Callithrix jacchus: one gene and its partners. The protein of the gene in region 3 purifies or fractionates together with the protein of the main gene of each other region. This does not show direct contact. Links are inferred from orthologs where the notes say so. Each region holds a gene or a part of one and is shown on either strand. Other genes may lie near its edges. The genes, in order: SMARCC1, ARID1B, BCL7A, DPF2, SMARCC2, DPF1 and SMARCD2.

Region 1 (3,500 bases), on a different chromosome or scaffold from region 3:
AAGAATACATATCCACCTTATGAATTTTGCCATTGATTTTTAGATACTTGGCATATCGAAATTTTATGATTGACACGTATCGCCTAAACCCCCAAGAGTACTTAACCAGCACTGCTTGTCGGAGGAACTTAACTGGAGATGTATGTGCTGTAATGAGGTAAAGCATTTGACTTTTTCTGAGACATTTCACTGTAGGAATTTACTGATGCATTGCTATCGAATGTTTGCTTGATTAAACTGGATATTTCAACTGGGTAAAACACCTAATTTTAGTTATCTCATTTAGGGGTTGATTATATTTTGTTTCTTTTTATTTCATTCAATTAAATTATTTTTATTTTATTATTTTAATTTAATGTTATCATGATGGGGTTTCACAGTGTTGCCAAGGCTGTTTTCAATCTCCTGGCCTTAAGTGATTCTCCTACCTTGACCTCCCGAAGCACTGTGATTGCAGGTGTGAGCCCTGGATTCAGGATTAGGAGTTGAATATTTAAAATACTTAATTTAGGCTGGGTGCGGTGGCTCATGCCTGTAATCCCAGCACTTTGAGAATCTGAGGCGTGTGGATCACCTGAGGACAGGAGTTCAAGCCTGGCCAACATAGTGAAACCCCGTCTCTATTAAAAGTACAGAAATTAGCTGGGTGTGGTGGCACATGACTATATCTCAGCTACTCAAGAGGCAGGAGAACCCAGGAGACAGAGATTGCAGTGTCATCCAGCCTGGGTGACAGATCGAGACTCTCTCAGAATAAATAAATATTTAATTCAGTTTTTTAGATTTTATAATTCATATTTTTAATTTTTTGTCAAATCATAAAATAAGCAGGGATGGAGTGGGTTCAGGTCGAGAGTGGATAAGCTCTGTGCCCTAGATCTGCCTAAAGACAAAAAAACAAAATGTGGATTTTTTTGGTGTGTATATTTGGTCTGTGTGTGATTTCATTTATTAAAATGGACCTAAATATGTATTTGTGCTCTCATTTCTGTGGTTGAAATGATTAGATTTTGTAATAGGTTTAGGGGGTGCTGTGTTATCAACGTTACTTGTGACTTAAGAAATTCTTCCTCAAAATCTGTCAGGTAGTTTGTGGTGTTTCATAGCCTGCTGAGAATATTTACTTCTTTTATTGTTTCTGTTTTTTAATAACATCATGATGATGATGATGATGATGATGATGATAAAGCACCTGAAGTTGATTCTGTAGATTTTAACTTTTCGAGCTTTTTTCTTTAGGGTCCATGCCTTTTTAGAGCAGTGGGGACTTGTTAATTACCAAGTTGACCCGGAAAGTAGACCCATGGCAATGGGACCGCCTCCTACTCCTCATTTTAATGTATTAGCTGATACACCCTCTGGGCTTGTGCCTCTGCATCTTCGATCACCTCAGGTAAATTAATGTCGACTTTTTCTTCAGAACTGGATAGTAACACCTGACTATTTACAGCATATCTATTTAGGAATAATTGTTATTGTATTATAATGGCTATTAATAGTGCTATTTCTTTTATGGTTGGTTGTGTGTGTGTGTTTTGGTGTACTGTAAATATTACAGTCCAAAATAATATATGCTATTTAAGTTAATGCTGTCCCACCAATCCCAAGACCCACTGCCTTACTCTATCAAATTATTAATTTACTTTTATATACATAACTTCCTTTATCCTTCTGTCATCAGATACTCATAAGTAAGCAGATGATGCAAAATGTTTTTTTTCTTCCTTCAGTCTTTGTTCTAAAAATGTGAGGCAAAGAAATCTTTATAACTTGTCCTAAGATTTATAAAGTTTATATTCATATATACATTATCAAACAGATTATGTCAAGGAAATTGTATTTAGCATTAAGTTGTATTTACAGGAACCTAAGGTATAAGAATTTTGTCCTATGGTGAAATAGAAGATAGTAATGAAAATTTTTTATCCTTTTTGGGACTTAAATGGACGCGAAAATGTGTCTTAAGTGTTGAATTTTTGTTAGAAGTATAGTGTAGAAGTGTGGGTATTTATTTTTTTGTAGGAGATCCACCAAGAGTGGTTTAAGTGCCAATATTAAACAGTTTTTTTTTTTTTGAGCTGGTGTTGTTCTCTCACCCAAGCTGGAGTGCAGTGGCGCAGTCTTGGCTAACTGCAACTACTGTCTCCCAGGTTCAAGTAGTTCTCCTGCCTCTACTTCCTGAGTAGCTGGGATTGCATTCCCTGCTAATTTTTGTATTTTTAGTAGAAACAGGGTTTACCATGTTAGTCTGGCTGGTCTGGAACTCCTGACCTCGTGATTTACCTGCCTTAGGCTCCCAAAGTGCTGAGATTACAAGCATGAGCCACCGTGTCCAGCCCCAGCAATTTTTTTTTTTTTTTGAGGCGGAGTTTCGCTCATTACCCAGGCTGGAGTGCAATGGCGCGATCTCGGCTCACTGCAACCTCCGCCTCCTGGGTTCAGGCAATTCTCCTGCCTCAGCCTCCTGAGTAGCTGGGATTACAGGCACGCGCCACGGTGCCCAGCTAATTTTTTGTATTTTTAGTAGAGACAGGGTTTCACCATGTTGGTCATGCCGGTCTGCTGACCTTGTGACCCACCTGTCTCAGCCTCCCAAAGTGCTGGGATTACAGGCATGAACCACTGCGTATGGCCCAGTTTTTGAAAAACATTTATCCTCTTGACTTTAAAGAGGTTAACTCAGCCATTTATCATTTATTTGACTCAGGTCCCTGCTGCTCAACAGATGCTAAATTTTCCTGAGAAAAGCAAGGAAAAACCAATTGATTTGCAGAACTTTGGCCTTCGTACTGACATTTACTCCAAGAAAACATTAGCAAAGGTAAGGATTTTGTTTTTAATCTAAACTCATGCAGGGTATAATCCAGCACGTCTTAGTACTTCTATGATACATCTAATGAGTTTTCTACTCAAATCTGGTGATATTTAAAAAAACACTATTAGAGAAAATCGAGGGGGGGAATGGAAAATTTGAACAGATAATTGGAATCTGTGAAAAGAATCATGAGGTCGGGGGTGGTGGTTCATGCCTGTAACTGCAGCACTTTGAGAAGCCGAGGTGGTCGGATCATGAGTTCAGGAGATAGAGACCATCCTGGCCAACACGGTGAAACCCTGTCTCTAATAAAAATACAAAAAGGAACTGGGCATGGTGCACATGCCTATAATCCCAGCTACTTGGGAGGCTGAGGCAGGAGAATAGCTTGAACCAGGGAGTCAGAGGTTTGCACCACTGCACTCCAGCCTGGTAACAGAGTGAGACTCTGTCTCAAAAAAAAAAAGAGTCATGAATATTTTAGAACTGAAAAGTATACTTGAAATTATTTGATGGGTTTAATAACAGGCTGCATATAGCAAAAGATAGGTTAGTGAACTCAGAGACAAATTAGTATATATGTGGAAACCTAGGTACCAAGAGCGAAAGAAATTGAATTGAAGTAGGGAGGGGCTAGGATAAAGAGAGGAGAGTGCAAAGATGTGATACAGTACAGGCTGGACAT
Region 2 (4,120 bases), on a different chromosome or scaffold from region 3:
AAATAACCACTGCAGTGGAAATGAATCAAAATAGTTTTTATGGAAAGCTGAAGAATGAAATAATTTTGGAAAACTATGCCCTAACAAAACCTTAAATATTGTTTCTGCCAGCTTTTAAATGCTTTCTCTCCGTGAAAACTGAGTCCGCACTGGTACAAGTGGGCCATTGCCTAAGATTAAGAAGTCTTGCTTTTCAAAATGTTACTAAATGATTAATAACAATGCAAATATTTAAAACACTAGTAACAATGCAAACGTTTAAAACATTGTAAAATGATAGACACCAGTTTTTAAGAGAACAAAGTATGGAACGTTTCTACTTTAGGATTAGACTGTTTTACATTATTATTGGTTACATTTATTCAATATAATGTTTATAATATTTTTGTTTTGTTTCACATTTCTTTGAATGTATATCAAGAGGGTTAACTGTGTACATGCAGCTCTGAAATAGGATGAAAGGTGTCATGCAGATTTATGAAGATACAAGCTAACCCATAGCTGTCGCTGTTCTGGCACCAAGAGTTAAATTTTCCTGTGGAAGTTGGAGCAGAAAACACCTCTGTACATACTCGAGAGAGGACATCTAAGTGCACATAATAAGAAAAATGCTCCTTTGGGAATACTTGGAGTTTTCCTTGACAAGCCTAATACGTGTTTAAGGTGTCTTCAGAAAGAGTTATGTAAACATTCTCTTTGGAACGAGTGATAAACATTTATTAAGTACCTGCTGTGTACAAAGCACAGGGCTCTCTGACCGGGGCTAACTTTCATTTCAAATCTTTACTAATTCTGCAGTTGGAAGAAGTTGTGGGAATTACGCCGATGGCCCGAAATCAAGGCAGAGGCAAACGTTCTGAGAATTACATAACTCCTGGGAGAGACCGTGCTTTTGCACAGATTGCCTAAATATTTTCTTTCTCCGTCGGCTCCTTGTAACCTCTGAGGCCAACAGACAACTTTGTTCTCCGGCCCTTCTCCCTCTTTTGTCTGCTCGTCAGACTCGTTTTCCACCTTTGTATCGTTCCTTTTAGACGTGAAAACAAACACGCGAACGCCCGGTTGGCAAGGAGACAGCGGCCCGGGGGGAAAGTGCAGGTTCCGGCCGCCCCACGCCGCCGCGCTCCGGACCGCCGCCGAGCCGCCCCGGCCCTGGCCCCAGCCTTAGTCCCAGCCCGGCTGGGCCCCGCGAGGCTGAGCCGGGGCGGGCGGGCGGCGGCGACTGCAGCCCGGGGACGAGTCCAGTCCGCGTTTTGCGAGTGCGCGGGAGTAATGCGAGCGAAGTGGATAATAGTTGCTGGAGCTCGCCCGCTTCTTCTCATGCCATGCTGGGCCCGATAGGCTCAGCCAGTCGTGTATTTACCCATATCCGGGTTAGAGAGGAAAAGAGAAAAGTTTCATTTAAACCTGAACTAAAAACTTTCACCATGAAAGCACACAGCAGGAGCAGGCCCAGAGCGTAAGGCGTGCCCGGCCCGGCGCTCCGGCGGGGCCTGAGGAGGGGGAGGGGGTCGCGGCTTCCCGGCGGGCCGCGTGGATGCGCACAGGAGGGGCCGCGGCCTGAAAAGTGGGGGTTATTGTCTCCCCCCACCCCCCGCCCGGCCTCGCCACGCCGCGGCGATCATGGCCGCGCGGGCAGCAGCGGCGGCGGCGGCGGCGGCGGCGCGGGCGCGGGCGCGGGCAGGCAGCGGCGAGCGGCGGGCGCCCCCCGGGCCGCGGCCGGCGCCCGGGGCCCGGGACCTGGAGGCGGGGGCGCGCGGCGCGGCGGCGGCGGCGGCACCGGGACCCATGCCGGGGGGCGGCGGCGACAGCGGCGGCGGCCTGAACAGTGTGCACCACCACCCCCTGCTCCCCCGTCACGAACTCAACATGGCCCATAATGCGGGCACCGCGGCCGCCGCCGCCGGCACCCACAGCGCCAAGAGCGGCGGCTCCGAGGCGGCTCTCAAGGAGGGTGGAAGCGCCGCCGCGCTGTCCTCCTCCTCCTCCGCGGCGGCGGCGGCGTCCTCTTCCTCCTCGTCGGGCCCGGGCTCGGCCATGGAGACGGGGCTGCTCCCCAACCACAAACTGAAAACCGTTGGCGAAGCCCCCGCCGCGCCGCCCCACCAGCAGCACCACCACCACCACCATGCCCACCACCATCACCACCATGCCCACCACCTCCACCACCACCACGCACTACAGCAGCAGCTAAACCAGTTCCAGCAGCAGCAGCAGCAGCAACAGCAGCAGCAGCAGCAGCAACATCCCATTTCCAACAACAACAGCCTGGGCGGCGCGGGCGGCGGCGCGCCTCAGCCCGGCCCCGACATGGAGCAGCCGCAACATGGAGGCGCCAAGGACAGTGCCGCGGGCGGCCAGGCCGACCCCCCGGGCCCGCCGCTGCTGAGCAAGCCGGGCGACGAGGACGACGCGCCGCCCAAGATGGGGGAGCCGGCGGGCGGCCGCTACGAGCACCCGGGCGTGGGCGCCCTGGGCGCGCAGCAGCCGCCGGTCGCCGTGCCCGGGGGCGGCGGCGGCCCGGCGGCCGTCCCGGAGTTTAATAATTACTATGGCAGCGCTGCCCCTGCGAGCGGCGGCCCCGGCGGCCGCGCTGGGCCTTGCTTTGATCAACATGGCGGACAACAAAGCCCCGGGATGGGGATGATGCACTCCGCCTCCGCCGCCGCCGGGGCCCCCGGCAGCATGGACCCCCTGCAGAACTCCCACGAAGGGTACCCCAACAGCCAGTGCAACCATTATCCGGGCTACAGCCGGCCCGGCGCGGGCGGCGGCGGCGGCGGCGGCGGAGGAGGAGGAGGCAGCGGAGGAGGAGGAGGAGGAGGAGGAGCAGGAGCAGGAGCAGGAGGAGCAGGAGCGGGAGCTGTGGCGGCGGCGGCCGCGGCGGCGGCAGCAGCAGCAGGAGGCGGCGGCGGCGGCGGCTATGGGGGCTCGTCCGCGGGGTACGGGGTACTGAGCTCCCCCCGGCAGCAGGGCGGCGGCATGATGATGGGCCCCGGGGGCGGCGGGGCCGCGAGCCTCAGCAAGGCGGCCGCCGGCTCGGCGGCGGGGGGCTTCCAGCGCTTCGCCGGGCAGAACCAGCACCCGTCGGGGGCCACCCCGACCCTCAACCAGCTGCTCACCTCGCCCAGCCCCATGATGCGGAGCTACGGCGGCAGCTACCCCGAGTACAGCAGCCCCAGCGCGCCGCCGCCGCCGCCGTCGCAGCCCCAGTCCCAGGCGGCGGCGGGGGCGGCGGCGGGCGGCCAGCAGGCGGCCGCGGGCATGGGCTTGGGCAAGGACATGGGCGCCCAGTACGCCGCTGCCAGCCCGGCCTGGGCGGCCGCGCAACAAAGGAGTCACCCGGCGATGAGTCCCGGCACCCCCGGACCGACCATGGGCAGATCCCAGGTAACCCCCGCGCCGGCCGGGCCTGCTTCCGCCCGGCGGCCTCGCCGCGCCGCGAGCCTGAGTTTCTTTCTTTGCCGCGTACTTTTCCCCGTCTTCCCGCGGGGGTGGCGGGGGCGGCGGGGGCGCGGCGCCCAAAGCCATCTTGACGGGCGGCCGCCTCCCACCGCGGTCGGGGCGCCCCCGGGACCGACGAGCTGTCCAGGCCTGGGAGGGCTTCGCCGGGCCGGGCCGGGTGGCTTCGACCCCGCCGGCCCGCACCGGCGCCCCCACCCCTCCCCCAGGCCCGGGAACGCGAGGCGAGATTCCGAGGCGCCACCCGCACGGACGCCGTTTGGGGCGGCAGGGACCGTTCGGGTGCTTTTGTAACAAACAGGCTCACCCGGCCCGGACGGCCGGGGCGAAGAGCCACCTGATCGGCTCTGGGAGCGCCCACAGTGTGCTTTAACGGGGGAAAGAACGAGGAACTTTCTCTCACCTTGGGCCACAGCTCGTTCCCTCCTGGCTTCCGAGGTCCAGGCAGGGAAAATAGGTTAGCTTTGTGACAAGCTAGCGGGTTTTTCCTACTTAGGGAGAGCTTTTCAGACACACTCGGTGCGGGCTTCGAGCTCGAATGTTTGCTGGCAGGAATAATTCCAAAATTTACAACGACGGGGAGGTGCAATATTCTAAAATACATCGGTTCGTTCCTTAGAGTAGCCAGGGAAATCCATTATTGGGCTTACGGGCTGCT
Region 3 (3,500 bases):
GAGCCAAGATTGAGCCACTGCACTCCAGCCTGGGTGACAGAGCAAGATCCATCTCAAAAAAAAAAAAAGGATAACCAGATTCCTCCCCGAGAGAGCTGCCGTGGGGCTCTGGGCATTGAGGCACAGGGAGGCAGAGCCCCCCAGCCCACCTGTCCTTGGCAGCTGTGGGATTTCATCCTATGGTTCTGTTCCCACCCCCGACAGATGATAACAGCAACCAGAGCTCCATCGCGGATGCCTCCCCCATCAAACAAGAGAACAGCAGCAACTCCAGCCCCGCTCCGGAGCCCAACGCAGCTGTGCCCAGCGATGGCACTGAGGCCAAGGCAGACGAGGCCCAGGCTGATGGGAAGGAGCACCCAGGAGCTGAAGGTACGTGGCCTCCAGGGCGGGGCTCTGGCGGTCTCCCTGTAACTGCCTTCAGGCAGTCTGTGGCTAGGTGTTCAAGGAGGCCCTGCCATGTGCCTGCTCCAGCAAAGATACGATGAGGAGAGGTGACACCTGGAGTACATGTTCTGTACCATGTAATGACCATGTCCTGTGGGGCAATTAAAAAAATCAGAAAGAGTCGGGCACAGTGGCTCACGCCTGTAATCCCGGCACTTTGGGAGGCCGAGGTGGGTGGATTGCCTGAGCTCAGGAGTTTGAGACTAGCCTAGAGAATACAGTGAAACCCTGTCTCTACTAAAAATACAAAAAATTAGCTGGGTGTGGTGGTGCGTGCCTGTAATCCCAGCTACTCAGGAAGCTGAGGCAGGAGCGTCACTTGAACCTGTGAGGCAGAAGTTGCAGTGAGCCAAGATCATGTCATTGCACTCCAGCCTGGGCAACAGAGCAAGACTCCGTCTCAAAAAAAAAAAAAATTAGGCCAGGCTAATGCCCTTTTCGGCCTTAGCCCACCTGCCCCCAGGTGAATAAACAGCCATGGCACTCACACACACACACACACACACACACGCACACACACGCACACACACACATTAGGCCAGGTGCAGTGGCTCATGCCTGTAATTCCTGCACTTTAGGACTGCTTGAGCCCAGGAGTTCAAGACCAGCCTGGGCAACCTGGCAAGACCTCATCTCTACAAAAAAAAAAGAAAAAAATAGCCAAGTGTGGTGGCACACACCTGTGGCCCCAGCTACTCAGGAGGCCGAGGTAGGAGGATCGCTTGAGCACAGGAGGTCAAGGCTACAGTGAGCCGTGATCATGCCTCTGCACTCCAGCCTGGGTGACGATAAGACCCTGTCTCAAAAACAAGTAAATAAATAAAAATCAAACCATTGGCCAGTAATGGTGGCTTACACCTGTAATCCTAATGCTTTGGGAGGCTGAAGCAGGAGTATCACTTCAGGCCAAGAGTTTGAGGCCAACCTGGGCAGCATAGCAAGGCCCTGTCTCTACAAAAAAATTTCAGAAATGAGCTGGGCGTGGTGGCATGTACGTGGTCTCAGCTACTCAGGAAGCTGAGGCAGAGTATCCCTTAAGCCCAGGAGTTGGAGGCTGCAGTGAGCCGTGATTGTACCACTGCACTCCAGCCTGGGTGACAGAGTGAGACTTTCTTTCAAAAAAAAATAACAGATGGTGGAGTGATTGTGAGAGTATGTGTGTGTGACTGTGTACAAAAATATATGTGTGTGTGTGTATTTTGAGTCTACAGACAAGTTGAAAGCACAGCCTAGTCCTGTCCTGGATGTCACCTGCTGAGCTTGGCGGTTGTTGGCTGTTGGGGTTTCTTTGCTTTGTCTGTTTTTTTTCTGGGACCATTTGAAAGTAAGTTACAGATCACAGGGCATTTCATCCCTAAACATGGCAGTACACGTCTTTTAAAAATAAAGACATTCTGGGCTGGGCACAGTAGCTTATGCTTATAATCTTAGCACTTTGGGAGGCGAAGGCAGGAGGATCTTTTGAGCCTAGGAGTTTGAGACCACCCTAGGCAAGAAGATGAAACCTCATCTCTACAAAAAAATTCAAAAATGAGCCGGGCATGGTGGCCCGCAGGTGGAGTCCCAGGCTGAAGTAGGAGGATTCACTGAGCCTGGGAGGTCAAGGCTGCAGGGAGCCGTGATTGCACCACTCCAGCCTGGGTCACAGGTTGAGACCTTCCTAAAAAATAAAAGACATTCGTATAGAATTACAAACACCGTTATTGCATCTAAGAAAATGAGCGACATTCTGGATGGTCTAACATGGAGGTATATTTTGAAGGTGAGGTGAGAGCCTGTGTCAGGCAATACATGGGGGTGAGGGTGACCCTGGGCACTTGGAGAGAGAGGCAGTGGCTGAGCGGATCTGGGGAGGGCAGGTCAGGTCTAGAGCGCCTTGGACAGCTCCCCATGGAGCTGTCGAGCACGGAGTGTGGAGTGGCGAATGTGGCCAGCCTGCAGGTGGGGCAACCTCAGGGCTCGAGGTGTGTGTGTCTTGGGAGCAGCCAGTGTGGTTCTAGGAGAAAGGGGACTGCTACAGAGCTGATCCGCGCCCCTGTGCACAGAGGCTCTGGGCTGGTGCTGGGGCCCCGGTCACAGCTGCACTCTGCTTCCTGCCCCCAGAGAACTCAGAGGTCGGCAGGGAGGACAGACACTGGAACCCAGGATTCACTGCAGAGTTGCAGACTCCATCCAGCACATGCTGTGAGGGTCTGGCCATACAGAATCCAGCAGTATCATTTTTTAAATTTGAATGTGATGTCACAATTTAAAAGTTGAGCTTAAAATGGGATCGATTTCTAGCTTCTTTTGAAAGATCAGCTTGGATGAGACCAGGGCTGCTTTTCCCTGGGGCAGATACCAGCTAAAGCCGAAGAGACCCTTCCCTCTTGTCACTCCAAACCAAGACCTAAGGGCACTAGACCTGTATTAACGTGTGGCCGCTGTTGTTTTTCTTATTGTAGATTTTAAAAGGGAAATTAAGATATTTCTTGGTGTTTTTTTGTGTGCGGTTTTTTTTGTTTGTTTTTTTTGAGATGGAGTCTTGCTCTGTTGCCCAGGCTGGATGGAGTGCAGTGGCGCGATCTCTGCTCAGTGCAACCTCTGCCTCCCGGGTTCAAGCAATTCTCCTACCTCAGCCTCCTGAGTAGCTGGGACTACAGTCATGTGCCACCATGCCTGGCTAATTTTTTGTATTTTAGTAGAGACGAGGTTTCACCATATTAGCCAGGATGGTCTCTATCTCCTGACCTCAAGATCTGCCGACCTCAGCCTCCCAAAGTGTTGAGGTTACAGGCATGAGCCACCATGCCCGGCCTATTTCTTGTTTTTTGTTTGTTTGAAATGGGATCTCACTCTGTCACCCAGACTGGAGTGCAGTGATAGAATTTCAGCTCACTGTAGCCTTAAACTGCTGGGCTCAGGTGATCCTCCTACCTCAGCCTCCCAAGTAGCTGGTACTGTAGATGTGTACCACCATGCCCTGGTAATTTTTGTAGTTTTTTGTACAGATGGGGTCTTGCTATGTTGCTCAGGCCAATCTGGAACTTCTGGGCTCCAGCGATCCCCCCACT
Region 4 (3,500 bases), on a different chromosome or scaffold from region 3:
GGGTTAGGGCCTGACTTCTGTCTTTCTTCCTGCCACAGGATTGGCCTCTGGACAGCTGTATTCCTACCCTGCCCGGCGCTGGCGGAAAAAACGTCGAGCCCACCCCCCTGAGGATCCACGACTTTCCTTCCCATCTATTAAGCCAGGTAAGGCACACACTTCTTGAGCAGAGGTGTGGCCTGCTGCATGGTGAGAGCCTGCTAATCACCGTGCTATACCAGGCGCAGTGCTAGATACCGAATATACTCAAATAAATATGATGTGATTCTTTCCTTTAAGGAGCTTAGTCTAGTAGGGGAGACAGGTAAACAGGTACGTTATGGTGCCAATTGAACTAGGGTGTCTTCATTCCTGGGCATCCAGAGAACAGAAGACAGTGACTTACCTTTGGTAAGCCCCAACATGATGTGGACTCAGAGCAGTCTGCTTTCAGCCCTTCTGAGCCTTGCTTCATTCTGACCTTGCTTGCAGACACAGACCAGACCCTGAAGAAGGAGGGGCTGATCTCTCAGGATGGCAGTAGTTTAGAGGCTTTGTTGCGCACTGACCCCCTGGAGAAGCGAGGTGCCCCGGATCCCCGAGTTGATGATGACAGCCTGGGCGAGTTTCCTGTGACCAACAGTCGAGCGCGAAAGGTACAAGATTATCCCTGTGGCTCAGGGAGCTTTGATAGAAATCAGCTTCCTCTTCACTGGGGGCCACCCAGTTTCTAGAACTGAAACAGAAGCTGGGGTCCAGGAAGCAGGCCCCTGCAGTTCTGTTCTTACTTTAAACCCTGATTATTGTCAGATACTGACTGACCTCTCCATTGCCATTTAGATTTTTCTGCTCCTTCTAAGTATAGACTCTCACTCATTCATCTACTTTTATCACAGAAGGTTATTATACATATAATTTTCATTTAAAAAATTAAAATAGGCCAGGTGCAGTGGCTCATGCCTGTAATCCCAGCACTTTGGGAGGCCAACGCAGGAGGATTACTTGAGCCCAGGAGTTCAAGACCAGCCTGGGCAACAAAATGAGACCCCATCTCTACAAAAAAAAATTTTTTTAAATTAACCGGGCATAGCGGCATACGCCTGTTTTCCCAGCTGCTAGGGAAGCTGAGGTGGGAGAATCGCTTGAGCCTGGGAGTTCGAGGCTGCAGTGAGCTGTGATCTTGCCACAGCACACCAGCCTGGACAACAAAAAAATTAAAACCAGGAGGTGCAATAGCGGTCAGTGAAATCCCATATACTCTTTTTTTTTTTTTAAACAGTTTCACCTTTGTTGCCCAGGCTGGAGTGCAATGGTGCAGTCTTGGCTCACTGCAACCTCCACCTCCTGGCTCCTCCTGCCTCTGCCTCCCGACTAGCTGGGATTACAGGCATGCACCACCACACCCGGCTAATTTTATATTTTTAGTAGAGATGGGGTTTCTCCATGTTGGTCAGGCTGGTCTCCAACTCCTGACCTCAGGTGATCGCCTCCCAGAGTGCTGGGATTGTAGGCATGAGCCACTGTGCCCAGCTGAAATCCCATGTACTCCTAACCTAGATTTATCAGTTTAACATTTCGCCACATTTGCCTTATCTAACTTTGCTAAACCGTTTGAGAGGAAGATGCATATATCAAAAACTTTCAGTGTAGGCAACATAGCAAGACCTTGTCTCTGGGCATGGTGGTACACACCTGCAGTCCCAGCTACTCGGGAGGCCAAGGTGGGAGGATTGCTTGAGCCAGTAGATTGAGGCTGCAGCTCTGATCATGCTACTTCACTCCAGCCTGGGTAACAGGGAGGCCCTGTCTGGGGGAGCGTCAGGAACAAACTTGTATCCCTGAATACTTGACACTTCTTTTTTTTTGAGACAGAGTCTTATTCTGTCACCAGGATGGAGTGCAGTGGTGCGATCTCAGCTCACTGCATCTCCATCTCCTGGGTTCAAGCGATTCGCCTGCCTCAGCCTCCCAAGTAGCTGGGACTGTAGGCATTCACCACCACACCTGGCTAATCTTTTGTATTTTAGTAAAGATGGAGTTTCACCAGGTTGGCCAGGACGGTCTCGATCTCCTGACCGCGTAATCCTCCTGACCTCTTGGTCCGCCTGCCTCACCCTCCCCAAGTGCTGGGATTATAGGCATGAGCCACCACGCCGGCCCCTACTTTACTCTTCTGTCACAAAAGTTTGTGTCACAAAGTTTTTTGGTCTCTGAGGTTACACAGCAAAGCAGACTTGGTCTCTGCCAACAGAGAAGATAAGACTATAAGAGCTATAAATATGCTACTACTGGGCTAAATGCTTATTCATGCCCTTTTTCCTTTAGTCTGTACAACCTTACGGAGTAGGTCCTGTGTTCCCCATTTCACAGATAGGCTGAAAACAAAGCAGTTTAAAAACTTCCCACAAGGTCACACAAATAAGCAACAGCACTTTCATTTAAACTAGGAAGTGAGTGTCAGAACAGAACCACCAATATTGTGCTCCCTGAGTGGCCAGTCAGAGGCAGGAGAAGGCGTGGCTACTTAGGGTATCAGGACAAACTTTATGGAAGCGGGCTATTTGATTTGGCCATGTGGCATGGTGGGGAAAGCATTTCATGCTAAGGAAACAAGGTGAAGCACAGGGGAAGGAAATCCCAAAGTATGGAAGGGAACGGGAGGAGAACTATGGGATGCCTATAGGGCAGTGGTGAGGAATGAGGCTGGTATAGGTGGGACCAGGTCATGGGAGGTTCTGGGCGGCCTTGGCCAGTCTCATCATAGGGGAGCTTTGGATGCACGTATTTCTACCCATGCTAACCCTCCTGTCCACTCAGCGGATCCTAGAACCAGATGACTTCCTGGATGACCTCGATGATGAAGACTATGAAGAAGATACTCCCAAGCGTCGGGGAAAGGGGAAATCCAAGGTGAGGGGCCAGCATGTTGCCTGCATCTCGGGAAGGGGTGGCCTGGGGAATTCCTCATTTTATTTCAAGTGAGATTAGCAGCCACTTCCAGAAGAGTCTTAACTCCTTAGGCCCAGCTGCCGCAGTAAGGATGTCTCTTTGCTCTTCTTGGCAGAGTAAGGGTGTGGGCAGTGCCCGTAAGAAGCTGGATGCTTCCATCCTGGAGGATCGGGATAAGCCCTATGCCTGTGACAGTGAGTGCCTCACAAGTGGGTGGGGTAAACCTTGCCTTGGCCCTAGCTCCTACTCAGGATATGAGAGGAGGGAGGGTTGTGTTTTTGCCCAGAGTATTAAAACAAACCTGGGTTCCTGTCCTGCCTGCTGACTGGTTCCTTCTGAGACCCCTGGGAGGCCTGGGTCCCTGCTATATGATGGGTGGAACCTGCATGCTCTGGGAAAGATTTCTGCCATCCTCTGGGGTGGGGTTGCTTGTGGGGGCCACAGCAGGCAGGGTTGGCCTCTCAGCAGATGCCCTGCAGGTCTCCTGGCCTCAGTTAAGCCAGGGCCCCAGGGGTCTGACACTGAGTTTTTCAAAGTCTGTTCTCTTTTTCTTTCTCTCTGGCTTGCCCCAC
Region 5 (4,202 bases), about 62 Mb from region 3:
TGCATAATTAAGCTTCCCAAGATCACTCTCATCCTCCCAAATCCAGGGGTAAGACCTTTTGGCAGCTTCCCTTTTGGAGACAGAAAGGAAAAGTGCACAAAAGACACGTGCGAGAACTAGGGTTACCTTTACATGTTAGGAAGGGGGTTAAAAAAGTCGCCATCAGGCCGGGCGCGGTGGCTCGCACCTGTAATCACAGCACTTTGGGAGGCTGAGACGGGCGGATCACCTAAGGTCAGTTCAAAAACAGCCTAGCCAAATGGTGAGACCCCGTCTCTAGTAAAAATACAAAAATTAGCCAGGTTTGGTGGCACATTCCTGTGGTCCCAGCTATTCGGGAGGCTGAGGCAGGAGAATTGCTTGAACCCGGGAGGCAGAGGTTGCAGTGAGCTGAGATCACGCCACTGCACTCCAGCCTGGGCAACAGAGCAAGACTCCGTCTTAATTAAAAAAAAAAAAAAAAAAAAGGCCATCGTCACGAACAGGATTCGAACCTGTGCGGGGAAACCCCATTGGATTTCGAGTCCAACGCCTTAACCACTCGGCCACCGTGACTTCCAAAACCGCGCTTTATCGCGCGCTTACAGAAGGGGTCCGCACTGCAACCGGGAAAGGCATACAAGAACTGAAAGCGGGGGCCCGGCCGCGAAACACACACCATAGAACTCCCCACCCCTAGCTCCTTACCTCCTATCTATGCCACTCAAAGAAAAAGAGTCGGATGAACCGGGTGGCCCAGGGAGGGAGGGCCTCCTGCCTAGCGAAGAGCGAGGTCTCAAGGAGCTCACAGCTACTTAGGAGGCGATGGCGAGGCCTGCGGAGGAAGCAGCCGAGGGAAGGGACTGGGGCCCCAGCGTGGCGGCTAGGGAATTTTTGGGTTAACAAGTGAGGGGGGTGCTGGGTGGGACCAGGCGCGAGAGGTGAGGGAGACTCAGAAGAGTTTAAATAGGCAGCTCCTGGGAATGGATGGAAGGAAGGAACTTCTTGGGGAAAGGGGTTTGGGTTTTGGAGGACTAGGGGCTCCGCGGGGTTAGGAATGCGCAAGGTGAGAGCCACTCTGGGGACCGGCGGCCGCCCGGGGTGGGATGGCGAGGTGATACTGCCGAGCTGAAGCAAAAAGAGGAAAAGGGCTTCGCGTCTGCTAAGAGCTATCTCTGGAGAATGGCGCCCCCTCCAGGAAGCGTCCTCCTCCCCGGAGGCTCCCGCCGCCGCTGCCGGGGAGGCCGCCAGGGTCGTCCCGCACCAGGAACTCCGCCGCCGCGCCCGGCCTGCCGGCAGGGGGCGCAGCGCGGACCGGGGCCGGCCCAGGCGGCGGGAGGCGGCGGCCGCGGCGGCGGGAGGCGGCGGGAGGCGGGCGGAGGAGGAGGCAGAGGAGGCGGGAGCTGAGCTGAGTGGGGCGGGCGGCGGCGGGGCCCGAGCCCGAGAAGATGGCGGTGCGGAAGAAGGACGGCGGCCCCAACGTGAAGTATTATGAGGCCGCGGACACCGTGACCCAGTTCGACAACGTGCGGCTGTGGCTCGGCAAGAACTATAAGAAGGTACGCGGGCCGGGCCGGGCCGCTTGGCGACCGGGGGCGGGACAAAGGGACAGCGGCCCTGCAGCCCCAGGATCCTGCCCACCCTCCAGCCGCCCCGGCCCCTCCCCCGCGGCCTCGGGAGCAGCCCCCCGCGCGCCCTCCCGCGCGCCCGCGCCCCTCCCCCAGCCTCCCTCTCCCCGCACCCCCAGCCTCCGAGCCCAGCCCCCGCCCTCACTGCTGCGCCCTCTGCCCCTTGTTTTTCTCCACTGCCCGGCGGGCCCCGATGCCATTAGCCCACCTTCCCCCTCAGCCATCGCCCTCCTGGCTTTTCTGGGAGAGGCGGCCGGCCGGGAGTGGACCGGGTGCCCAGTGAGCTCCCCCGCAAACCCGAGCATGCCCGCCAGAGCTCCCCACGGAGCCAGGTACCAGCGGGGCTGAGGCCTCCCCAGTGCTTTGTATATGTTCAGAGAGAGAGAGGATGGAAAGCAGGAGGGTAAACAGTCACACAGCAAGCCGCTGGCTGCTCATCAGCCTGAAAAAGGTCCCCACCCTGGGATCACCTGTCTCCGCCGCTCATCCCCCACCTTCATCTAAGGGGAAACAGAATCTCTCAGGGAGCCGGGGTATAGGAGTTCCTGGGTAGCGGCCCCTTCTGAAACCTTTCCTCGATTTTACAATGAAGTCACCCTGCAACCTAGCTTTGCAATACCCTGGGTTTGGGGTCCAGAGGTTAGGGTGAGCTTTCTGTCTCTAGCTCCTCACCCCCTAACCCCAGAACTGGAGATCATAAGGTAGTGAACAAAGGGTTCAGGAATCCTTACCTGTCTTTTCTACTAAACCTCTTCCTGGTGTCGTCTTTGTCTCTAGGCCTGGTTTTCTCTGGAAATGGTCTGCCTCTCTTCTTTCTCACTACTCCCAGAGAGGGGTTCTCTTTGTGGCTTTCTTTCAGCTCCCTGGTTCTTCCTGCCGGCTTTGCAACTAGTCAGAAGTGTGCTTAGTGGCTTAGGAGAACTTCCTGCTGATCCTGGTTATGAGACTAGTCCTGCCCTTGGGGTCTCTCTGGGTGTCAGAATCCTGACAAATAGCTGCTGTTTCTATGGCTGGTCTCTGCCCCTTTGTGAGGCTCTTGTTCCCAGGCCTTTTGACCTTTTGCAGGGAGATTAGGCTAGGGGCTTAGCCTGTAGCCTTGGGGTGATTGACAACTGTGACCTGGTTCAGCTTCCATGCTCTTAGCTCTTTGTCATTTACCTTTCCCTTCACAGATATCTTTTCACCTCTCACTGAGAGGTGCTGTCTTCTTTGTGATGAGGGTGGAGAAAACAGGTCAAAAGGTAAAAAGAAAGTCTCCTGGCTCAGGTTCAAATTAGAATGGAAGGCTAGGATGCTGCTAGGTAGCATAATGTGGAAACAGTGAAGCAGGACCAGGGTTACTTGTCTCAGATACAGTTTCCTCCGACAGGGTAGATGTCTTGCTCTTCTCCATCAGGCTAAGTAGCCCATGGCCCTTCCTGTCTAAGAGGGCATATGAAGACGTTTATACCCATTCTTCAGAAGCAAAATGCACAAGCTCACTCTCTCAGTCAGCTTGCCCTCCTTGACTTCCTTGACCTTTTCTTGTTAGGCTACATTATAGGGGGAATCATGGCTTTACACAGAGTTCCCCTAAGAAATACACTTTTGTCTCTCGTAGAGCCCCAGAGGTATTGCTTCCATGACCTCATCTCTGTAAACCTCCAGAATTTTACAGCCCTCAGTGCTGTGGGCTGAAGATGAGGTGCCAAAGTACTAGGGTCCTGCAGCTCCAATTTCAGAGTGTAGCTGAGGATGAGTAGTAAGCTTCCCTCTTCCCCCACACTGGCAACCTGGGCTGCTGGCAGCAGTGTTTCAGCTTCCTGGTTGGGGTGTCCAGGGTCTCCCTTCTGCCATTTTCTTTATAGAGACTAAATGGAGTAAAAGACACTATTTTCTCTGCTCCAAATGCTTCCAGAGTGCCTGGGGGAGAAATATGGGAGATAGTGGACAATTCATCTGGGGTCTATTTTTCTTTTCTTTCCCTCTTTATCCCTAGTATATACAAGCTGAACCACCCACCAACAAGTCCCTGTCTAGCCTTGTTGTACAGTTGCTACAATTTCAGGAAGAAGTTTTTGGCAAACATGTCAGCAATGCACCGCTCACTAAACTGCCGGTGAGTGCTGAAGTTGGGGGGAGGGTGGGGGGGGGCTGGTGGTGAATCCTTCAAACTGGAGAGTTGTATTTTTTAAAATATTTGTGAATTTTGTAATTTTTGAAATTTGGATTATTTTCTACCATTCCTATCCCTGGTCAGGGCATTATTGGCTTGGCCTAGTCCCCAATTTACCATTCCTTTTGTCTTAGTAATACTTTGTGCAGAGTGCCTGAGATTAGTCCCCGAGTCTCTCATGGTATGGTGAAAGGGGGTCTTGAGATTTGGATTTGCGCGGGCTTGTGTTTACATCCTGGCTTTGCCACTTCATGGCTCTGTGACCTTGGGCAACATTCATCAGTCTTGGTTCCTTCATCTCTAGATGGGATTAGTAAATCTACCTTGTAGGGTTTCTATAGTGGTAGCTGAGGTAATTCAGTAAAGTGTTAGCATATATTGGTTTCTTTCACTCCCCTCTTCCAGGCCACATGATGCAATGGCACAGGGGTTAAAGAATT
Region 6 (3,500 bases), on a different chromosome or scaffold from region 3:
CCACAGTTTAGGGAAGCTACTCACTCTCCCCACCTCCCCACCTCCCCACACCTGGACCAAGAGGTCCATCCTGAGGCTGGGGGCAGGGTGGAGCCTTGCCTGTGGTGAGAGCCCCTCTCTCTGTCCCCCCTACCCCAGAGTTTTACAAAGAATTGGCCTGGGTCCCTGAGGCACAAAGGAAACACACAGGTACGGATGCCTCCCTCTGCTCCTAATGTCTGCAGCTACCTTTGCTGGGTGCCCCCGCCTGCCCCTCACCAATGCTGGTCTGCTGTCTTGCAGCCAAGAAGGCGCCTGACGGCACTGTCATCCCTAACGGCTACTGTGACTTCTGCCTGGGGGGCTCCAAGAAGACGGGGTGTCCCGAGGACCTCATCTCCTGTGCAGACTGTGGGCGATCAGGTGACAGTCCCCACCTGAGGTTTCTGGGGGCTGGGTGCAGAGGACATCTAGGAGTGCAGAACTGGAGGGTGGGAGGCAGGGTGGTGAGGACCAGGGGGACCCGGAGTTTGTCGGGGATACTGCGGATAACCACAGTTAGTGAGGCTGATTCAAATGCTGAGGATTGTGGGAACTGGGTCAGATCAATGAGGCTCCGGGGATAATGGGATGTGGCTCTCATGGCACTGTGCTTAGTATGGCATCAAGGGTGTGAGAGGCTGGGTGTGGTGGCTCACGCCTGTCATCCCAGCACTTTGGGAGGCCGAGGTGGGAGAATCACTTGAGGCCAGGTATTTGAGACCAGCCTGAGCAACACAGAAATACCCCATCTCTACAAAAAATTTTAAAATTAGCCAGGTGTGTTGTTGCATACCTATAAGTCTCAGTGACTCAGGAGGCTGAGGCCAGAGGCTCGCTTGAGCCCAGGAGTTTGAGACCAGCCTGGGCAACACAGTGAGATCCCATCTATGAAAAAAATAGCTGGCTATGGTGTCACACCACATTGGTCCCAGCTACTTGGGAGGCTGAGGTGGGAGACTTGCTTGAGCCCTGGAGTTTTTTTTTTTTCTTTTTGAGATGGAGTCTCCCTCTGTCACCCAGGCTGGAGTGCAGTGGGCCAGTCTCGGCTCACTGCAACCTCCACCTCCTGGGTTCAAGTGATTCTCCTGCCTCAGTCTCCCAAGTAACAGGGATTTAGGTATCTTTAGTACAGACAGGGTTTCACCATGTTGGCCAGGATGGTCTCAAACTTCTGACCTCAGGTGATCTACCCACCTCGGCCTCCCAAAGTGCTAGGATTACAAGCGTGAGCCACCTCGCCCAGCCCCTTGAGCACAGGAGTTTCTGACCAGCCTGGGCAACATAGTGAGACCCCATCTATTAAAAGAAAAATAGCTGGGATAGTTTTGCACTCTATCAATCTCAGCTACTTGGGAGGCTGAGGTGGGAGGATCGCTTGAGCCCCAGAGGTCGAGGCTGCAGAGTGAGCTGTGATGGCGCCACTGTACTCCAGCCTGGGCGACACAGCGAGACCTTGTTTCAAAAACCAAAACGAGACAAAAGGAGTAGCAAGAGACGGTGGCCAAGGCATGGCAGGTAGCAGGCTGTGCGGTGTGAATGACGGATGCCACCGCCTGGGCGCTGGTAGCAGGCTGGGCTTGCGGTGGAACTGTGGTTAACAGAAGGTGGTTCCCCATGCTGGACTGCAGTTGCCTCTCAGCACAGTGGGTCATGAATGGTGGTTGTCATGGCATCATGGGTAGTGAAATATGGTTGTCATGGTAACTCGGTATCCCGGAATGCGGTTGAGATGGCAGCGGGGCCATGGCTGCAGGCGACGTGCACCATGGGTCAGGGCTGCAGGTAGCGGCCTTTCGGGTGTCTCTGCGCTGGGGCCACGGAATGACTAAGAGCCTGGCACTGCACAGTATTGTGGGTAGCAGTTTGGTTGCTGGGGCATCAGGTGGGATGGGCTTTCATGGCATGAAACCGAGGTGTGGGGACCTTGTTGTGGAAGGCAGTTGCCATGGCATTGTGGCTGGGAGAGTGTGGCTGCCACGTTGCTGTGGTTAGCAGGACCCCTGGCCACTCTGCTGTGGGGAATGGAACGTGGCTGTCTCAGCCCGGTGGTTAAGAGTGTGGTTGCCACGGCGTTGTGGGTGGTAGAAGGGGTTGCCACAGCACTGTGGGTAATGGAATGCGGTTGCCATGGCATTCTGGGAGCAGAGTGTGGTTGCCATGGTGGGTGTGGTTGGAGACTGTGGTGGCCGGGGGACTGAGGCTGGCCACGTGGTTGCTGGGCAGGTGTGGGGACCCTGGCGGCTCATCCCGGCCTCATGAGTCATGGGTAGGGGCTGAGCTATGGCTTCCCCCAGCTGTCAGTGCCCACCAGGGGCGTGGTGACCCCCTAACTGCACCCCCTCCCCTTGGCCCTTAGGACACCCCTCGTGTTTACAATTCACGGTGAACATGACAGCAGCCGTGAGGACCTACCGCTGGCAGTGCATCGAATGCAAATCCTGCAGCCTGTGCGGAACCTCTGAGAACGACGTGAGTGCCGCCCGGCCCCCCCCCCCCCCGCCGTGCCCCCGATGCCTGCCCCGCCTATGCATCCGCCTCTGCCCCTCCAGCCTAAAGCCTGTGCCTGAGCCCTCCCTGTGATCACGAGTCCCCTGTGTTATCATTATGCTGGTGTCCATAAATCAAACCTGGTACTTGTTCCTCTTCATCTCTCCGGCTCCTCCCTAGAGCCACCTCTGAGGCAGGTGTTCCTGTCCCCACTTCACAGGGAAGGAACCGAGCTCAGAGAGGGGAAGGACCCTGCCCCAGGTCAGCCAGCAAGGGAAGTGGTGGAGCTGAGGTTTCAAGCCACGACCACTGCTGGCAGAGCTGGTGTCAGAGCATCTTAGTGTTGTTTAAAGCCTTCCACAGCCTGGGTAACCTGTAATCCCAGCACTTTGGGAGGCTCACACCTGTAATCCCAGCACTTTGGGAGGCTGAGGTGGGTGGATCACCTAAAGTCAGGAGTTCGAGACCTGCCTGGCCAATATGGTGAAATCCCCGTCTCTACACAAATACAAAAATTAGCTGGGGGCCTGTAATTCCAGCTACTCGGGAGGCTGAGGCAGGAGAATCACTTGAACCGGGGAGGTGGAGGTTGCAGTGAGCTGAGATAGCACCATTGTACTCCAGCCTGGGTGACAGAGCTAGACTCTGTCTCAAAAAAAAAAAAGGCCATGACCACTGCTGGCAGAGCTGGCATCAGATCACCTTAGTGTCACATAAAGCTTTCCACAGGCGGGGCATGGTGGACCCAGCACTTTGGGAGGCTGAGGAGTTTTGAGCCAGGAGTTCTAGACCGGTCTGGACAACATAGTGAGACTCCTGTCTCTACAGAAAATAAAAAAAGAAAGAAAAAGCCAGGCATGGTGGCACAGTCCTATAGTTCCAGCTCAGGAGGCTGAGGCAGGAGAATCATTTGAGCCCAGGAGTGTGAGGCTGCAGTGAGCTGTGACTGCACCACCACTGCACTTCCAGCCTAGGTGACAGGGTAGGACCCT
Region 7 (4,288 bases), on a different chromosome or scaffold from region 3:
CCTGTTAGAAATGCAGAGTCCTGGGCCCTACCCCAGACCTCAAGAATCATAATCTGCATGTTTACTAAGAGCCTCAGGTGTTTTTTATGTGCTCATTAAAGTTTAAGCAGCACTGGTCTGTATCACAGCAAGGAGAACCAGACCATCAGACGGTAGGCTCCCTGGCACAGCTGAAGCATTTTCAAATACTTTGATACAGGACAGTGTATCTGAAGATACTGCATTTTTGAAAATTAAGTGCTATAAATACTGGAGAAAGACCTCTTTTTTTTAAAAACTGCGGGGAGATTTCTCATAAGCCAAATTTCTTTTGACTAGAAGCATTTTCTGGGGAGTAAAGTACCAGGCTTCTTTAAAGTGAGGCAGAGCAACGTTAAAAATGTGCGATAAGAACTCAGTCTTGGCCAAGTCGACCGTTCACCAGCTGGGTCAAGTCTGGAGTCGCCTAGGTCCCTTGGCAGTTCTGAGCCACCAGGATGAGGGTTTACAGGAAGTCGAATTGGCTGCTGTTCTGCTCCAGAGAGCAGCTGAGTCTTTTTTGTTTTTAGACAGAATTTTGCTCTTGTCGCCCAGGCTGGGGTGTGCAATGGCGCGATCTCGGCTCACCGCAACCTCCACCTCCCGGGTTCAAGCGATTCTCCTGCTTCAGCTCCCAAGTACCTGGGATTATAGGTGCCCGCCACCACGCGCGGCTAATTTTGTATTTTTAGTAGAGACAGGGTTTTTCCATGTTTGTCAGGCTGGTCTCGAACTTCTGACCTCAGGTGATCCGCCGCCTCAGCCTTCTAAAGTGCTGGGATTACAGGCGCGAGCCCGCGCTCCCGGCTCTCAGATGGGTCTTTAACGCGGAAGATGCAGAAAGGAAACTTGACAAAACTATTTTGTGAGTGTGGCCGGGGAATTCGGTGAGGGTGCTACACGGAAAAAGTAGTACCAACCGCTCATTCACTGTGAAGCCCGTAAGTGACCTTAGACCTCTAACCCCGCGCCTCACTCCGCCCTTCCGTGCGCAGCTTCCGCTCCCGCCCCTCCGGCAAAGGGCTGGCCAAGGGGTGTGGGCGGGGCTCTGAGGTCGGCGGTTAGGGGCGGTGCCCGCTGGGGGAGGGTCTCGCGAGGGGCGGGATTCGAGGAGACACTCGAGCATTGGGCACCAGGTAGAGGCGGGGTCTAGGGCTGGGCTGAGTTGGGCGGGGCAGGGAGTTCGTAGCCGCCTCTGGGTAACTTGACTCGGGCAGCCAAACCTCCAGAGGCCGGGGACGGCAGGCGGGCCCGCAGCGGATCCTGGATCCGGAATCTCCCGGGCAGGAGCGGAATCTGTCCCGAACCAGGTCTGTGAGGAACTCGCAAACTTGGATTAGGAAATCCTGGAGCCCGGATCGACAAACCCCGGCACCCGGAATTAAGATCGCCAAGTCCCGGATCACGGAGCACAGAGCGCGGAGCGGACTCTACGCGGAGCCCGGATTCCGGATCGCGGCACCGCGGGACGGGACGGAGCGATGTCGGGCCGAGGCGCGGGCGGGTTCCCGCTGCCCCCGCTGAGCCCTGGCGGCGGCGCGGTGGCCGCGGCCCTGGGAGCGCCGCCGCCTTCTGCGGGACCCGGCATGCTGCCCGGACCGGTGCTTCGGGGACCAGGGCCAGCTGGAGGCGTGGGGGGCCCCGGGGCCGCCGCCTTCCGCCCCATGGGCCCCGCGGGCCCCGCGGCGCAGTACCAGGTGAGCAGAGAGGACGCGAGCCGACGGGGGCGTGCAGCGCCGTGAGGGCGCCTGGGCGGGGGGCTGAGGGGGGCTCGAGTGAGGGCCCTGGGGAGTGCCTGAGGAACTGTGGAGGGCGGGTAGGGACCCTCAGGGTGCGGCGAGTGGCGGTGGAGGAGTGGGGAAAAGGAAGCGTGTTCCGTAGCGGAGGGCTGGAAGCAGCTGGAAGGCCTGGGGGCTTCCTCGCACAGGGATTCCGAGTGACTGGGAGATGGAGGAGTTTGGGGAGCCAGAGAATTGTGGGCAGGTGGGTTGGGAAGTTTAGGATAGGAGGGCTGGGAAGTGATGAGAAAGTTTGGGAAAGGGCCCTCGCTGAGAAACCGTGGTTACCCTGCATCGGCCTTGGTCCCACTCCAGGTCTGCCCTGTTTTTTCTGGTTAGGAACTGGCCGAGCTGAGCTCTAGCGTGTCTGAGATAGTTCCCGGCTGCTAATGAAGAGGAAGGAGCCTGGCGTCCCACAGGCACGGGACGCGGAGGCTAGGGCCAGGGATTCCAGCTTGGGCACCGGCGGACTTTACTCCTGAGGCAGGGCCTTCGCTGGCGAGGACTCCAGCTTAAACCAGAGACGGTGGTGGCCAGGCCTGAAGGGAGGCCCAGCCCAGTCACAGGCCGCCTCTCTTCTGGCCTTTCTGCCTGCTGTCATAGTGTCCAAGAGTTGATTAGTCTGGACGTGCAGAGTGGAGCCCTGCTGGTCTGGGGCGGGAGGAGTCTGCGAGAGTTGCTTCAAAGAGTGTCGTCCTGACCCCTTTGGGGTTTGAGAGCTGCTTAGGTTGCAGCTTCAAAAGCCCTTGCAAGGCAGCGACTTCTGCTCAGTGTGTGAGGACCTCAGCCTGACCCTGCCGGTCCCCAAGTCTGCTGTTCAGGTTGCCCCAGAAGGCTTAGAAACTGCCCATCTGCCTTCCCACCAGCTCTGCACTTCTATTTGGCATTCAGGTTCTAACTCGGCCACATCCCAACCCATGTGCCCCAGCATTTGACGCTGGTGTCTTCCTCATCTCCCCGGGTCTGTCGTGAGGCTTCTCTGTTTTTGACTCAGGTCTCCAGGTGGAGGTCCTTAGGGATCCTCGTGGAGTATACACAGCCCACCTGCCCCCTGAGCCTCATTTCTAAGGAGATACTTAATTAGGGACACTGACTGGATTTCTTTTTCCCCCTTACTAATTCTTCCTCCTTAAGAGAAAACAAAGGGTCTGGGTATGGGCAGAGACAGACCTGGTCCCAGAGACTCCAGCTGAGGCCCACCTTGCTCTCCGCCTGGGGATTCATGGGCCCAGGGTGTTGCTGAGGGCTCCATGCATCAGTTATTGGCACCCTCAGACCTGCTCTCTGACACCTGGCCTGGGCACCACCTGTGGGCCTTCGGCCTTGGACAGACCTGGAACAGACAAGCGGCTCCAGTTTCCTTGGCATGTAAGCCATAGGAAATGTGCCCTTCGGAAAGCCCCTGAGAGGATGGATTCCACAGTGTTTGGTGGGGGTGGCCTTGGGCCTGTAGCAAGGCCAAGCTGGCTGGCTGGTTAGGCCTGGTCTGCTAGCTGGGGGGATGTTGGAGATGGCCCTGAATCTGAGTTTCCCATCCCACTAGCTTTCCTCTTCCTCCTGGAAGGAGAGGTAGATGGGAAGGAGAACCCAGGCAGCTAACTGTGGCTGAGTTTGAAGAGGATCCTACTTGCCCTCTTTTCAAGTCCAGTTGTATGACTTCTGGGAGAAGGGACTTTAGATCTGGGGAACAAAGGGATTCCTATCTGTTAGGGCTCGTGAGATGTGCTGGAAACTCTATTTGAGGCCCAAGCTGAGCAAACAGGGGAGCCTGTTGAAAGAAGGGAAGCAATGACCTCCCTCCCTCCAGAGGGTGGCCCTAGCTGTGGATCACAGGTAACAGGAGCCTAAAAAAGAAAAAACCCTCCAGGGCTGGGTGTGGTGGCTCACACCTGTAATCCCAGCACTTTGGGGGAGGGTGGGGGCCAGACAGAAGGATTGCTTGAGACCAGGTGTTCAAGACCAGCCTAGGCAACATAGGCTGTCACCTCTTAAAAAAAATTTAGCCAAGTGTGGTGGTATGCACTTATGGTCCCAGGTACTCAGGATGCGGTAACAAGAGGATTGCTTGAGTCCAAGAGTTCAAGGCTGCATTGAGCTGTGATCCTGCCACTGCACTCCAGCCTGGGCAACAAAATAACAAAAACCACAGATTGTTGGGTTCACTCCAGAGAGTTCAAAAAGTTCAAGATACTTTTTACTCACGGGAGGGTGGCAGTAGTTTCTCCAACCGAGGCCCTCAGGCCCAGTCTCCAGGAGCATCAGGGCCACATTTTGGGCAGGTCAAAGCATACTTGCCTGAGCCCTGGATGCCTCACCTCGCGGCCACAGCATCAGACCCAGCCTCCTGCCCTGCTGCCCTTGGTGGTGGTGGTAGACTTAAGCTTAGAATATGGGCTGGTGCCAGGCCAAGGAAGAGGAGGGCGTTGCATCCTTCTGGGGTTCAGGGGATTGAGCCAGGGCTACCTGGTCCTGCTGCAGGCAGGGAGTTTGGG

What was found.
Region 1: the proteins of BCL7A (region 3) and SMARCC1 purify together in Homo sapiens (affinity purification with mass spectrometry; 4 studies listed by BioGRID and IntAct, counting the BioPlex papers as one, with this or other methods). This does not show direct contact. The link is inferred for Callithrix jacchus from reciprocal best matches to the Homo sapiens genes BCL7A and SMARCC1.
Region 2: the proteins of BCL7A (region 3) and ARID1B purify together in Homo sapiens (affinity purification with mass spectrometry; 4 studies listed by BioGRID and IntAct, counting the BioPlex papers as one, with this or other methods). This does not show direct contact. The link is inferred for Callithrix jacchus from reciprocal best matches to the Homo sapiens genes BCL7A and ARID1B.
Region 4: the proteins of BCL7A (region 3) and DPF2 purify together in Homo sapiens (affinity purification with mass spectrometry; 3 studies listed by BioGRID and IntAct, counting the BioPlex papers as one, with this or other methods). This does not show direct contact. The link is inferred for Callithrix jacchus from reciprocal best matches to the Homo sapiens genes BCL7A and DPF2.
Region 5: the proteins of BCL7A (region 3) and SMARCC2 purify together in Homo sapiens (affinity purification with mass spectrometry; 4 studies listed by BioGRID and IntAct, counting the BioPlex papers as one, with this or other methods). This does not show direct contact. The link is inferred for Callithrix jacchus from reciprocal best matches to the Homo sapiens genes BCL7A and SMARCC2.
Region 6: the proteins of BCL7A (region 3) and DPF1 purify together in Homo sapiens (affinity purification with mass spectrometry; 3 studies listed by BioGRID and IntAct, counting the BioPlex papers as one, with this or other methods). This does not show direct contact. The link is inferred for Callithrix jacchus from reciprocal best matches to the Homo sapiens genes BCL7A and DPF1.
Region 7: the proteins of BCL7A (region 3) and SMARCD2 purify together in Homo sapiens (affinity purification with mass spectrometry; 5 studies listed by BioGRID and IntAct, counting the BioPlex papers as one, with this or other methods). This does not show direct contact. The link is inferred for Callithrix jacchus from reciprocal best matches to the Homo sapiens genes BCL7A and SMARCD2.

Annotation. Positions count from the first base shown.
Region 1 is NC_133516.1:30,366,093-30,369,592, reverse strand, and holds part of SMARCC1 (SWI/SNF complex subunit SMARCC1), read left to right. Parts: intron 1-43; coding exon 44-157; intron 158-1,239; coding exon 1,240-1,393; intron 1,394-2,707; coding exon 2,708-2,821; intron 2,822-3,500. UniProt on the Homo sapiens protein: Involved in transcriptional activation and repression of select genes by chromatin remodeling (alteration of DNA-nucleosome topology).
Region 2 is NC_133505.1:163,604,918-163,609,037, forward strand, and holds the start of ARID1B (AT-rich interactive domain-containing protein 1B), read left to right. Parts: upstream 1-1,320; 5' UTR 1,321-1,623; coding exon 1,624-3,390; intron 3,391-4,120. UniProt on the Homo sapiens protein: Involved in transcriptional activation and repression of select genes by chromatin remodeling (alteration of DNA-nucleosome topology).
Region 3 is NC_133510.1:125,249,561-125,253,060, forward strand, and holds part of BCL7A (B-cell CLL/lymphoma 7 protein family member A), read left to right. Parts: intron 1-204; coding exon 205-372; intron 373-3,500.
Region 4 is NC_133511.1:122,425,075-122,428,574, forward strand, and holds part of DPF2 (zinc finger protein ubi-d4), read left to right. Parts: intron 1-38; coding exon 39-146; intron 147-471; coding exon 472-635; intron 636-2,796; coding exon 2,797-2,889; intron 2,890-3,043; coding exon 3,044-3,122; intron 3,123-3,500. UniProt on the Homo sapiens protein: Plays an active role in transcriptional regulation by binding modified histones H3 and H4. Is a negative regulator of myeloid differentiation of hematopoietic progenitor cells. Might also have a role in the development and maturation of lymphoid cells.
Region 5 is NC_133510.1:63,473,953-63,478,154, forward strand, and holds the start of SMARCC2 (SWI/SNF complex subunit SMARCC2), read left to right. Parts: upstream 1-1,402; 5' UTR 1,403-1,427; coding exon 1,428-1,538; intron 1,539-3,585; coding exon 3,586-3,705; intron 3,706-4,202. UniProt on the Homo sapiens protein: Involved in transcriptional activation and repression of select genes by chromatin remodeling (alteration of DNA-nucleosome topology).
Region 6 is NC_133523.1:33,800,902-33,804,401, reverse strand, and holds part of DPF1 (zinc finger protein neuro-d4), read left to right. Parts: intron 1-138; coding exon 139-189; intron 190-282; coding exon 283-402; intron 403-2,377; coding exon 2,378-2,490; intron 2,491-3,500. UniProt on the Homo sapiens protein: May have an important role in developing neurons by participating in regulation of cell survival, possibly as a neurospecific transcription factor. Belongs to the neuron-specific chromatin remodeling complex (nBAF complex).
Region 7 is NC_133506.1:89,120,517-89,124,804, reverse strand, and holds the start of SMARCD2 (SWI/SNF-related matrix-associated actin-dependent regulator of chromatin subfamily D member 2), read left to right. Parts: upstream 1-1,488; 5' UTR 1,489-1,499; coding exon 1,500-1,715; intron 1,716-4,288. UniProt on the Homo sapiens protein: Involved in transcriptional activation and repression of select genes by chromatin remodeling (alteration of DNA-nucleosome topology).